Xenopus tropicalis: one gene and its partners. The protein of the gene in region 3 purifies or fractionates together with the protein of the main gene of each other region. This does not show direct contact. Links are inferred from orthologs where the notes say so. Each region holds a gene or a part of one and is shown on either strand. Other genes may lie near its edges.

Evidence for each region. Proteins that work in one complex are often made in the same cells at the same time.
Region 1: the proteins of rara (region 3) and kat2b purify together in Homo sapiens (affinity purification with western blotting; 3 studies listed by BioGRID). This does not show direct contact. The link is inferred for Xenopus tropicalis from reciprocal best matches to the Homo sapiens genes RARA and KAT2B.
Region 2: the proteins of rara (region 3) and klf5 purify together in Homo sapiens (affinity purification with western blotting; 4 studies listed by BioGRID). This does not show direct contact. The link is inferred for Xenopus tropicalis from reciprocal best matches to the Homo sapiens genes RARA and KLF5.

Annotation. Positions count from the first base shown.
Region 1 is NC_030682.2:45,629,609-45,633,262, forward strand, and holds part of kat2b (histone acetyltransferase KAT2B), read left to right. Parts: intron 1-948; coding exon 949-1,038; intron 1,039-2,504; coding exon 2,505-2,686; intron 2,687-3,654. UniProt on the Homo sapiens protein: Functions as a histone acetyltransferase (HAT) to promote transcriptional activation. Has significant histone acetyltransferase activity with core histones (H3 and H4), and also with nucleosome core particles.
Region 2 is NC_030678.2:127,154,959-127,158,612, reverse strand, and holds part of klf5 (Krueppel-like factor 5), read left to right. Parts: coding exon 1-800; intron 801-3,424; coding exon 3,425-3,484; intron 3,485-3,654. UniProt on the Homo sapiens protein: Transcription factor that binds to GC box promoter elements. Activates the transcription of these genes.
Region 3 is NC_030686.2:8,758,054-8,762,248, reverse strand, and holds the start of rara (retinoic acid receptor alpha), read left to right. Parts: upstream 1-1,384; 5' UTR 1,385-1,880; coding exon 1,881-2,049; intron 2,050-4,195. UniProt on the Homo sapiens protein: Receptor for retinoic acid. Retinoic acid receptors bind as heterodimers to their target response elements in response to their ligands, all-trans or 9-cis retinoic acid, and regulate gene expression in various biological processes.

The sequences.
Region 1 (3,654 bases), on a different chromosome or scaffold from region 3:
CACTGTGTGAACCTTTTAGTGCTAGGAATACCAAAACCCACAAATATTGCTGAATAAAACATTAGGCTAAAATTATGATAGTTGTAAGGCCTCTTTATTACTTACATTAGACAAGCAGGTATGTTGGACACAGATGTCTAACCCTGTATTATGGGACTACTAAAAGGCAAATTTTCTGTTCAGGACATACACCATATTGTGGTGCACACAAATAATTTTGTACTAATTTTAGCCACCCACTTTTCCTCTTTTGTTTGCGGGTACATACCTCCCTACATTTGAAAAATGCAAAGAGGGACAACATTTTTGACCACGCCCATTTTTGCAACCACACCTCCTAAAATACCACTCCCATTTTACAAAATATAGCAGGTTATTTAAAGTTTGAACACATTTCTGGGGGTTTGGGGGTCTTGTTGTGTTTTGCAAAAAAAAACAAAAAACCTGTTTAGCTTATTAGTTACAATTGTATCTAAGTGCATGTGTAGCTTCTTAACTTTTCTGGGCTTTCTGCCAAAAGCTACTTTTTTAATTAAGTTTGAGAAAGATTGTATCTTTTTTAGCTTGAGGGACTTTTTAGAAAGAATCTGGGACTGCGGGCTAAGCTGTCAAAATTGGGACTGTCTTTTGAAAATCGGGACAGTTGGGAGGCATGGCCCGACTATAAGGAAATTGTGGGTAATGCTGGCTCTCATGTTAGGGTATGTCAGAATAAGTTCAGCTCAGTGCACCATGGGTAGTTTTTTCTAAACCACAACTGTTGTTAAATACTACAGCTCAATACAAAACAGTTGCCAACTTGTTTGGAAGTAAAAACAGGGAATGAAATTATAGCTGAAGAGAGCATTATTTTATAGTCATGTGTGGGTTTAGAGTTACATTTTATTCTATTGCTGAAATGTATCTTACCAACTAAGAATAAAGCATGTACATACTTCTTCTATTCAGCTTTTGAGGAAGTGTATCCTGCAAATGGTGAAACCTGCAGTGGAAGGATCATTGGGTTCCCCTCCATTTGAGAAGCCTAGTATTGAGCAGGTAATGGGGATCTGACATCTTTTCCTACCTACCTTAGTTTTTTAATGTATGTATATTTGTATTTCTTTTTGTACTTATCAAAGTTCCAGGCTGTTAATCAGTGTCTAATTGTTTATTCCTTAGAAAGTGGTGTTTTCTTAACAAGGCAACTTTTGGAAATCTTGGGCTGTAGAGGGATGTATATCACTGATATTATTTTTTAGTTATAAAATGTCCTTTTCATAGCAACTTTGGTCTTTATTATTATTTTTTTGTTATAGATTTTGAATTATTTGCCATTTTGTTCTCTATCTTTCCAGCTTTCAATGGGGGGGGGGGGGGGGGGGTGGGTCACTGACCCCGACAGCCAAAAAACTGTTGTTCTGTGAACTTACAATTTTATTATTTTTGTTACTTTTTATTACGTAATTTTCTATTCAGTCCCTCTCCAAAACATATTTCAGTCTCTCATTCAAATTGTCTGGTTGCTATGGTAAACAGGACCCTAGAAAACAGCTGCTAAATTCCAAATAACTGATAAACCAAAAGGAAACAAAATTAAAAAACAAGTGCAAATTATCTTATAATATCATGTCTACATCATACAAAAGTTAATTTAAAGGTGGACAACCCCTTTAGTGAGCAGTGACTACATTGGGAACACTCTTGTCCTTACATTACATATTCGTGTTTTTGGACCTTTTGCGATATAAACACATAACCAATGGCAAATCTGCAAAATCCTACATTATTCTCTTTTAGTAGATATAATAATGTGTGTTGCTTTAGAAGAAAAAATCCAAAATTTTCTGACAATGCTTTTTATGTCATTATAACCTTATTCTTCTAGAATGATAGTGGGAAGAATTCCTAGTTCTAGGTCACTAAAGTGTTTAAAGGGCAAATATAACTACCATCTCTCATTCATTTATTTTCTTTATAGTCAATTTAACCTAAGTGTGCTGACTGAGAACCCATTCTCTGCATTCTGCACCACACTATGAAGCTACCACATGCCATGCACAATAATTTAACAATGTACAGTAATGACCAGTTTTCAGTATTGGCTTATTAAAGCCTAAAGGTGGCCATACATGGGCCGATTTTAGGTGCTGATATCAGTCCTTTAGACCAATTTGGGGACCGAATTGGCTAGTTGATGCGCTTCCCGAACCAACGTCGCCTATGCCTGCCGTTTTAATTAATTGAATTACCCCGATATCGCCCACCTGTAGATCTTACAGTGTATGGCCACCTTTACTGGGGCATCAGTATCTGGATGGCAGCCTTAATTGTAGCCAAGCAGAACTGAGCTGATCAGCAGCAAGTAACAGAGTCTGTATTACAGAGCAAATTACTTTCTACACTGCTCACGTTTTTTTCAGGCAGGGGTCAAGAAAACAAAATCTGTGTTATCTTCTTTCTAGGTAGTCTGAAAACATGAAGACTATATTCACTGTGCATCTCTGTATTTACTTTCTTTAAAGGGTGTAAATAATTTTGTACAGTACAAGTTCAGCCATTTGCCTTCCAAAGAAAGACAGACTATCATAGAGCTGGCTAAAATGTTCCTGAATCGCATCAACTACTGGCATTTGGAAACTCCCTCCCAGCGAAGACTAAGGTCACCAAATGATGATATTGCTGGATATAAGGAGAACTATACAAGGTACACTCTTCTTAATGCAATAGTAATGGGTATCTATTGCTGTTGTGTTGCATGCAATCTCTATGATTTGTGGATGTGCATCGTTTGTCGGCTTTGTGAAACTGAAAGACTGCAACAGAAAATCTGAAGTGGTTTGAACTGGCTGCCTGAGTAAAAGACCAAATTATTATTTCATGTGACCTAATTGTGGATTGTTGCTTGCGGGGTGTTGCCATATTTATTAAAGTGGCAAGGCCAAGGGCTTACACTCTATACACAATATTTCAAGGCAAGTACTTCCCTCTATCAAGTTCTTATCTATTCTTGCTATTCTGGCTGTCTTATGCCACACTAAATGACTGAGCATAGAGCCCTGGACAGGTGAAGAGGAGTCACACAGCCTACACTTAACAACAGCTAGAACTGAAACAAAGAAATTGCTCTTTGTAATGAACAAATAGCATAGACCTGGTATAGGATTCTAATCTTTTGACTGAAAGTTTACTTGCTGGTAGGGCAATGGCTCATGGGGAGATTAGTTGCCTGCGGTTAATCTCGGCTACCGTGGGTGACTAATTTCCCTGAAATACCTTTCCACAGGCAATAAAGTAAAATTTCCTGCAAGAGGAAACTTTAAGCGACCTCAGAAAACAAAGCGATATGTATGCCTTCTCGCCGGCGATTCACTTTATATTTGGTGGGAAGGCATTTTAGGAAGATTAGTCGCCTGCAGTAGCTGAGATTTAACTGATCTAACTAATCTCCCCATGGTCCATCAGCCTTAGCTTTTTTATGCTTATTTATCAGTGCCTTAATTACAATAAAACTTGTATTAATTTATAGTAATCTCAATGACCATAGGGAGGGGGTGCAATAATGTTAAAGTTTTAAAGGTATAAAGGTATAAACTATTTTATATGTTAGAAAAATTGAACACGCACAATAAAAACAAGCCTTTGCTTTCCTTTTTAGGTGTTAAACACTAAAGG
Region 2 (3,654 bases), on a different chromosome or scaffold from region 3:
AGATTTAAAAAAGTACAGGCGAGACAGTGCATCAGGTGTTGATCAGTTTTTTAATGAGAGTGATGGACTTCCTTACAGTATAAACATGAATGTCTTCCTTCCTGATATCACTCACTTAAGAACAAGCCTGTATAAGAGCCAGAGGCCACCCGTGACCCATATCAAGACAGAGCCCACTTCAGTATTTAGCCACTCAAGTGATGCTGAACCCACACAGAGTCTTCCTGAATTCACCAGCATCTTCAGTTCCCACCAAAACGCAGATGTTAATAACATCTACATCAAACAAGAGCTCCCTTCACCAGAGCTTCCGCTCTCTGTCAATCCTCAGCAGGGCCAGTTATACCAGCTTTTAAGTTCGCCAGACATTGATATGTCTAACTCCACAAACCAACCCTCAGTTATGGACACTATTAATAGTGCTTCCATGGCCACAGACATGTCTGCCTTTAATACACTTTCTTCTCCAGTACAACAGACTGCAATGAAACAATTCCAGAGCATCCCTCAGTGCTCATATGGCATGCCTAGCCAATTTCTGCACCAGCAAGAAGGAACCTACTTTCCACCTTCTCCTCCTAGCTCTGAACCAGGCAGCCCAGATAGGCAAGCAGAGCTTCTCCAGAGTTTAAACCCTCCACCATCTTATGCAGCCACGATAGCATCCAAGATGGCCATTCACAATCCACCCTTACCTGCACAGGTGCAAATAACAGCCCCTGCTATACAATCTGTACGCTACAACCGTAGAAACAACCCAGATCTGGAGAAAAGGCGCATACATTATTGTGACTACCCTGGTAAGAACCTACATGTAATTGTTCAGGGGTTTATACAAGGTAACGGTCTACTGACTTAATCAAAAGCTTAAAGGAGAGCTAAAGCTTAACAAAGAATGTGTCTAGACATGCAATGCCTTATGTTTTGGGCTTCTGTACTAGCCCAGGGCCACTAGCCATAGCCCTTTAGCAATGAAGGTCTGTGCCTTTGAATATGCGCACATGCTCTGGGCTACTTTCAGCTACCTCAGCTTAGGGACATGTGCACAATAAATAATATATACACTATACACTACAATAATATAAAATCCACCATTCAAGGATTATTGGTAATTAATTCACATTACTCAACAGCAGAGAAACCAAGGTATTCTGAATTTAATCAGCTGTGTAGCATCACCAACTTTGACATATACAACTTTAACTTTCTGGTAGTGTTTTTTACTTGCTTAGCTTGCCAATACCAGCCCCATTGAGTACATGCAGTGCCACAGATACACAAATGATTAAGATGGGGAGCTCCCATGGACAACTTTTTAAGACCTGTCCTACAGCTGCTAAACTTTTGGGCTAATAAAGCAAGTTTGGTAAATAAACATGTCTAGCAGTATTCATTTCTAGGTTTTAGTTCTCCTTTACTTATAGGGTGCATATTTCTTGTTCATTAGATAGTTGGATATGAATGAGACCATGATATATTCTTTACACAATACATTCCTTCTCTGAATATTTGTATTTAAAAATATGAGCAGGTGCTGCAGTACTGTATGTTTTAGCAGAGACTGAGCATTAACAGTACTGGTACCCCTAGTGATTATAATGAAATGGATTTGTCCGACATGGAGAATAGTGAGAATTTTGCATAAAAACTGCAGAGATGGAACCTGTACAATAATAAACCCATCTGACCTGTGTGTATAGTTGTGCATGTTCCACCTGTATATGGACATGCGCATGCAAGAATCTGGGTTATATATGTCACTGTGGCGAAACTGTACTTTGACAGCACTTATTTAAAGTAAAATCTGTCAGGTTTATAGGGCTCCATTTTGTGTAAAGAACGTCATCACCAAGTCAGGTTACCTCTAACCTTGTTGAATTTAGAGCAGTTAGATGATTTAATAGGAATAACAAGATTTTTATAAGCATCCTGCTATTTTAACGTTAATGTTTAACTTGTGTCTTTAAATCTACAATGTGCTTTTGCTTTTCGCATTCTTTATCTAAAACCCCAGTCCTTTACAGTGCAACACTGGGCAAAGAGATTAAAGGAGATACTACTTCAATAAGTAATAGTTCCAGGACAAATATGGTTGTTCTGTATATGAAAAATAAACCGGGGTTATTTGTACGACATGTTTCAAACTGGATTAAGTTATATAGCATATATGAAAAGAAATGACTATATATTAACTAAGAAATAATTTTAACAAATGAGTTTCATATTTTGAAGCATTGTATAACATAGGAGACCTTTCTGTGTGGAGAACTTTCTATATGAAGTTTATGCACACTTGGATAAATGTTATCTCTGGGCCTTCTGTAGGCTCACACTGACTTTTGGTGCATACTTCCTGAGATATATACACATTTTCTAGTGAATTCTACATATTTTAAATGCTTCGCCATTATGTCAGTGGTCAGTCTGAGGTTGAACAGGTCGAAAACAACACAGATCATCCCTGCTCCCTATCCATTGAGGGTCACCAGCATAGTGCTGAATTTAGCATAGTGAAGCAAATTAGGAACTGACTCGGTCAGTAGTGCTTTATTTGCACCCTTATGCAGTCATCATGATTTAGATTCCAACCCTTATACATAAGGGATGTAAAAATGTAAAGGAAATGAAAGGTGTTTTCAGTGAGACTTGAGGATGCCAGCACTAATTGTGCATGAGTTAGGACAGCCTTTTAATGTGAAAGTTAATCATTAGGAACAGAAAGAAAATGATAAAAGTAGCAGAGAGTCCAAGCAATGCACAGAAGCAAATGTGTCACTTTCATGTTAGCAACAGCAAATGCCAAAGTAATAATAAACTGCGCTGTACTTATAATTCTGGAATCTCCCTAGGTATTTTTAGAATGCAAGAATGCAGATGGATATCTAAAGCTCTGAATAACTTTGATAAATAAGTCCGCTCAATAGGAATAAATATACTTGCTCTGGCATTTGAAAAACTACACCTGTTGCAACTTTGAGGAATTCTTTTTTTCTTTACACAGAAAACCCACAAGGAATTCAGATTCTTCATATGTAGTATTTTACTCTTGTTAAGGGCTATGGCACATGGCGAGATTTTAATCATTTTGTTCCCAGAGGTATATAGTAGCTAGCAAAATGGGGACAAGAAACTGAAAAATTGCCCCTACACTTCTTTGGAAATTGCACTGCGCAGTCAGGCTATTTTTGTTTGGAAAGTGATTGCACTATACCTGGCAATTGTTATAGAAGTGAATTGGGGGGGGGGGGCATTGCCTTAAAAATGCGGGGGCTGCTTTTGGCATCATAGCTGCGAGTATCCTGCAAAAGAATACATTAAATGCCTTAATGGTAGACAGAGTGTTAGCGATGTTCTCTGGGCTGTTGCTTCGTGAAATGTTCATTCACAATGATAACCACCATGCTTTTTTACTCTTCTATTGCAGGGTGCACAAAGGTGTATACAAAGTCATCCCATTTAAAAGCCCACCTGAGAACACATACTGGTATGTGCATTTTTTGTTCAATTTAATGGCTGTGTAAATATTATCAATAGAAGTCTCCTCTTTTTGAAGTTGGTATGTTTTTCAATCTAAAACCTCTCATTCATGGCTAATTTTGTCAGTTGCTTTGTTCCCCATGACAGTTAAATTAAATCACCTGGCTCTTTTTCATT
Region 3 (4,195 bases):
ATCACCATGGTACGGAAAGTATCGGGACAATAATTCTGAGGCCACACATGGTCCGAAAATCGTATGAAGATTGTATTGATAGGTGTATGGCCAGCTTAACCCTCATACAGGCATCTTGGTGGCTCCTACCTGCTGTAGTTGGCCACCATTGTCAGTTGCTCAGGTGATAATTACCCCAAAACCCTCGCTGCCCCCTGGGAAGGGCGTCCCACAGTGCTTACATTCCATGGCCCATAGCAGGGACCCAAGTTGTAGCAGTCAGTGATTTTTATTTTTATTTTTTTTGGGGGAAAAAAAAACTTGTCAGGCCAAAATCAGAATAAGTTATAAAGCCACTGGTGTTGGGCTGGTGTGGGGGTATATACACTCATTTGTATTTATTAGCAGGAGCCTGCCATACTAGTACTGGGGGGGGGAGGGGTCAGTTGATTCCCAAATATGCGGGGGGGGGGGGGGGGAAATGTCTGTGATGTCACTGTGAGAGAAGGAGACGGTTGGGTCGTTTGGAGGTGAGGCGAGAGGGTCACTGAGAGGTCACATGCATGATATTAGGCAAATGAGGGGGGTATTGAAGGGGGGGGTTGGGGTATTTAGATCATGGCAGGAATACACAGGAAGGTGGGAAATGGGCAGGGCAGGCTTTGTTGTGATTGAGCTGTGCCCCCAGTGGCATGCAATGGGTTAAAAGATAGGGGGTGTTGACTTGCGAGGCTCAGCTGCCTCCAGTCCATCAGGAGGGGGAGGAGGCAGGAGGAGACACGGCTGTAGAGTTTGCAGCATTGAGCGGTGTGTGTGTGTCACGGGGATCAGTCCTGAGAGGAACAGTATTCCCCCAATGCGCCTCGGCCCATTACAGGAGAGCAGGGAAGCCCCTCCGCCGCGTTACCAGGAAACCGGGCATCCCCATTCTGCATGGAGCCTCCATTCTGCCTAGTAACCCACATACCCAGGGAAGCCTGCAGGAATACCTCCGTCTGACCAGGGATCCTTCAGTCTGTGGCACCGGTCGCCCCTGGGGGTGCAAGGATAACCGTCCCCATTAGCATTGATCCTAACAAGGAGCCCGTTGTGCTAACAAGGAGATCCCACACAGGAAGTTGTGCAGATTCTGCAGCAGGAGAAGTTGACTGGGGGTCCATAGAGAGACCTTCCATTACAGGGCAACCCCCTTCCCCCTGCTGAGAAGAATTGCCCCTTATCTCACACTATCTGCCTGCAAGGACTCCAGCTGCCCCTGTAGGGATTGGGAGCTGATCCCCAACAGATTTGGCCTAATTAAGACTTATAGGTAAGGGATCGACATGCCGGGCAACCCTTTTAATCCCCTGCCACTCTCCCTGATCCCCAGCCAAACTGGGTGCCCCCCAAATTAAGTGGTTCGGAGTGGGGGTTCTGCCCCCGTTGTGCTGTGCCAGGGATTCCATGACTTCAGCCGGAAGAACAACAGATTGAGAAGCAAAAAATTGGGCTACGCTGCAGCATGATGGAAAGGGCATGTAGGGTTCTGGGACACAAGGAAAGGCTCTGCACGGACCACCCTATATGCAGCTAGTGGGGTTCACGTTTTACACCCAGGACTCCCCCCCCAGTTCCAGTTATTTGATGGAATCCGTGCGGAGAGTCTCCCATGTGATATTCCCAGCGGATCTGCCTGCAGAAGCCCATCCCTGCATTTCCCACCGACTTGGAGAATCTCCAATGGCTCTGCTGTGGGATTCCTCCTAAGTCCATAACAATTTCCTACCGGATCTTTGGGGTTTTTCCCCCCCTATTACCCTAAAAATTCCAATTCAACCCCAGACTGCTGAATTCTCTTCCACCCCCCCATTTTTTTTTTTCTTTTCTTTTTGTTATATGGTGAATTTGGAAGGGATTGTAGGATGTACGAGAATGTGGACGTTCCTGGTTTGGGCACTAGCCCGACGCACTACCATATGATGGATTTCTATAGCCAGAACCGGGCTTGCCTATTGCAGGAGAAAGGACTCGGGACCATGCATCCCTACGGGACGCCACTTCGAAGTCAACACTGGAGCAGTTCCAACCACTGTACGTAGGTGATACCCTCTCCACAATCCCCGTCCCTTGTACCGCGGCGGTGCCGCTCGCGCCTGGCTTATTGTTCTTATTTTATTATCAATTTGACAATTTTATTGCCCATTATTCTCGTAGAAGACATCTGTAATTGTGGCACGTTAATGCCTATGTCCAGATGCGCCGCGGCAACATCTGTACGGATAATGCTCTGTATAAATAATCCCAATCTATAACGTGCGCCGAACAATAGTCTCTTTGCGCCGCTCGTAGAGTTGGATTATCCGTCTGTCCTAATGGGAAGATCTTTGTTTTGCTGTTTGTCCTGCAGTGGAGACAATGGCAAACAAATTCTTTCTAGACTGTTGTGGGTGGGACTGTCTCTAGACCATGACAAGATAACCTCATTTACCGCTAGTAGAACGTTCTAGCCGGAGACCGTTTCCCTATACGGGGGCTGTTAGTAACGCAGGGAACTTACTGCTAGATAAGCGTTTAGGCCTCAATTGCGCTCGGATTGAAATGAATATTTTTTTTAATATCGCCAGTATAATAACAATAGCATCATATCTGGGCTATGCAGTATTCTCAGAGTAGCGCTTTATCCACAAACCTATGGGGGTTCTTCTGTTATGGAACTACAACTCCCAGCATGCCCTTACAAGCTTCACTTGTACAGGTCTAGTTCCTGTGTTACATTGCCTCTGGCTATTATTGGGTGAATGCAACTTAATGAGGGTAATGGAAATAAATGACAAATTATGTGTTTTGCATTTTCATGCCGAGCCGCGCTGTATCGTTTCAAAGCGGTTTATTTTCGTAAATGAATTTGGGCCCTGTCTTTGTAACGGTTCCGTGAGCGAGGAATGGGCCTCTGGGCCCACAATCCAGTTTGATAGTAATTAAGTCACCATTCCTGTCTCTCTGTAACTCTCGGGGCATAGGGGCAAAACTCAATGTAGTAATAACAATATCCTGCATAATACTATTTGATACAAACACTTAGGGTGAAGACACACTGGGCTACTTAGTAGCAGCTACTTGTCACGGCTACTAAACTCCAGAAAATCCCCTGCCATAGACAATACTGAGAATTGCCTCTGCTAAAGCACAAGTAGAGACAGTTATCAGTAAATGATCAGCATTGTCTGTTTCTGTCGCTGTGACAAGTAGCTGCTACTAAGTAGCTCTGTGTGTCTTCACCCTAAAACGTGGCTCCACTTAACTCTTCCTTTACCCCTCTGTGTAAAAAAGTATAGCCGGATATGCTGGTGGGCAGCAGTCGGATAACAATGTGGCTGCAGTGTATGGTATGGAGCATTAAAGGGCAACTGCACCCAAAAACTGTTTCGATAATGTAATCCTAAGCAACTTGCCGATATAAATTCATTATACATTCTAGTGGTTTTTTGTAATTGATAAATGAAATCAAAGCAGCATTTGGGCCTTCCTGTCCTCTGGGACTCTCACATGTAGCAGAAGTCCAGCCTCCTCCGGGGTATCCCTGCATTGTTTCAGTAGTCAGAACCAGCAGTGCAGCCAGATTGTGAAACCTTTTCATTACAGGGGTAGTTAACTCTGTTACAGAGTGGCCTATTCTTTGCAACTTTTTAGTTGGTCTTCATTTTTATTTTGTATAGTTTTTTAATTATTTGCTCCTTCTTCTGCCTCTTTCCAGCTTTCAAATGGGGGTCACTGACCCCGGCAGCCAAAAACCTATTGCTCTGTGAGGCTCCAGTTTTATTGTTATTGTTACTTTGTATTACTTACATTTCTATGTAGGCCCTCCTCTATCATATCTCTGTCTCTCTTTCAATCCACTGCCTGGTTGCTAGGTTAAATTGGACCCCAGCAACCGGATAGCTGCTGGACATACCAAACTGGAGAGTTGCCACTTAAAAACCTAAATAATAAAAAAAATAAAAGACCAACTGCAAATTAACTCAGAATAGTACTCTCTACATTGCACCAAAAGTTAATATAAAGGTGAACTGCCCCTTAATTGTATTTTTAATGCGGGCCGTGTATATGACTATTAGATTAATACAGTGGAGAATTAAAGGCACAGTGTAGCCAATACGCTCACGTCAGCACTAAAGTTTATTATGGTTACTTGTCCTTGATTTTGTGGGTTTGTGGTAGTATTTTGGGAAGCACTTTT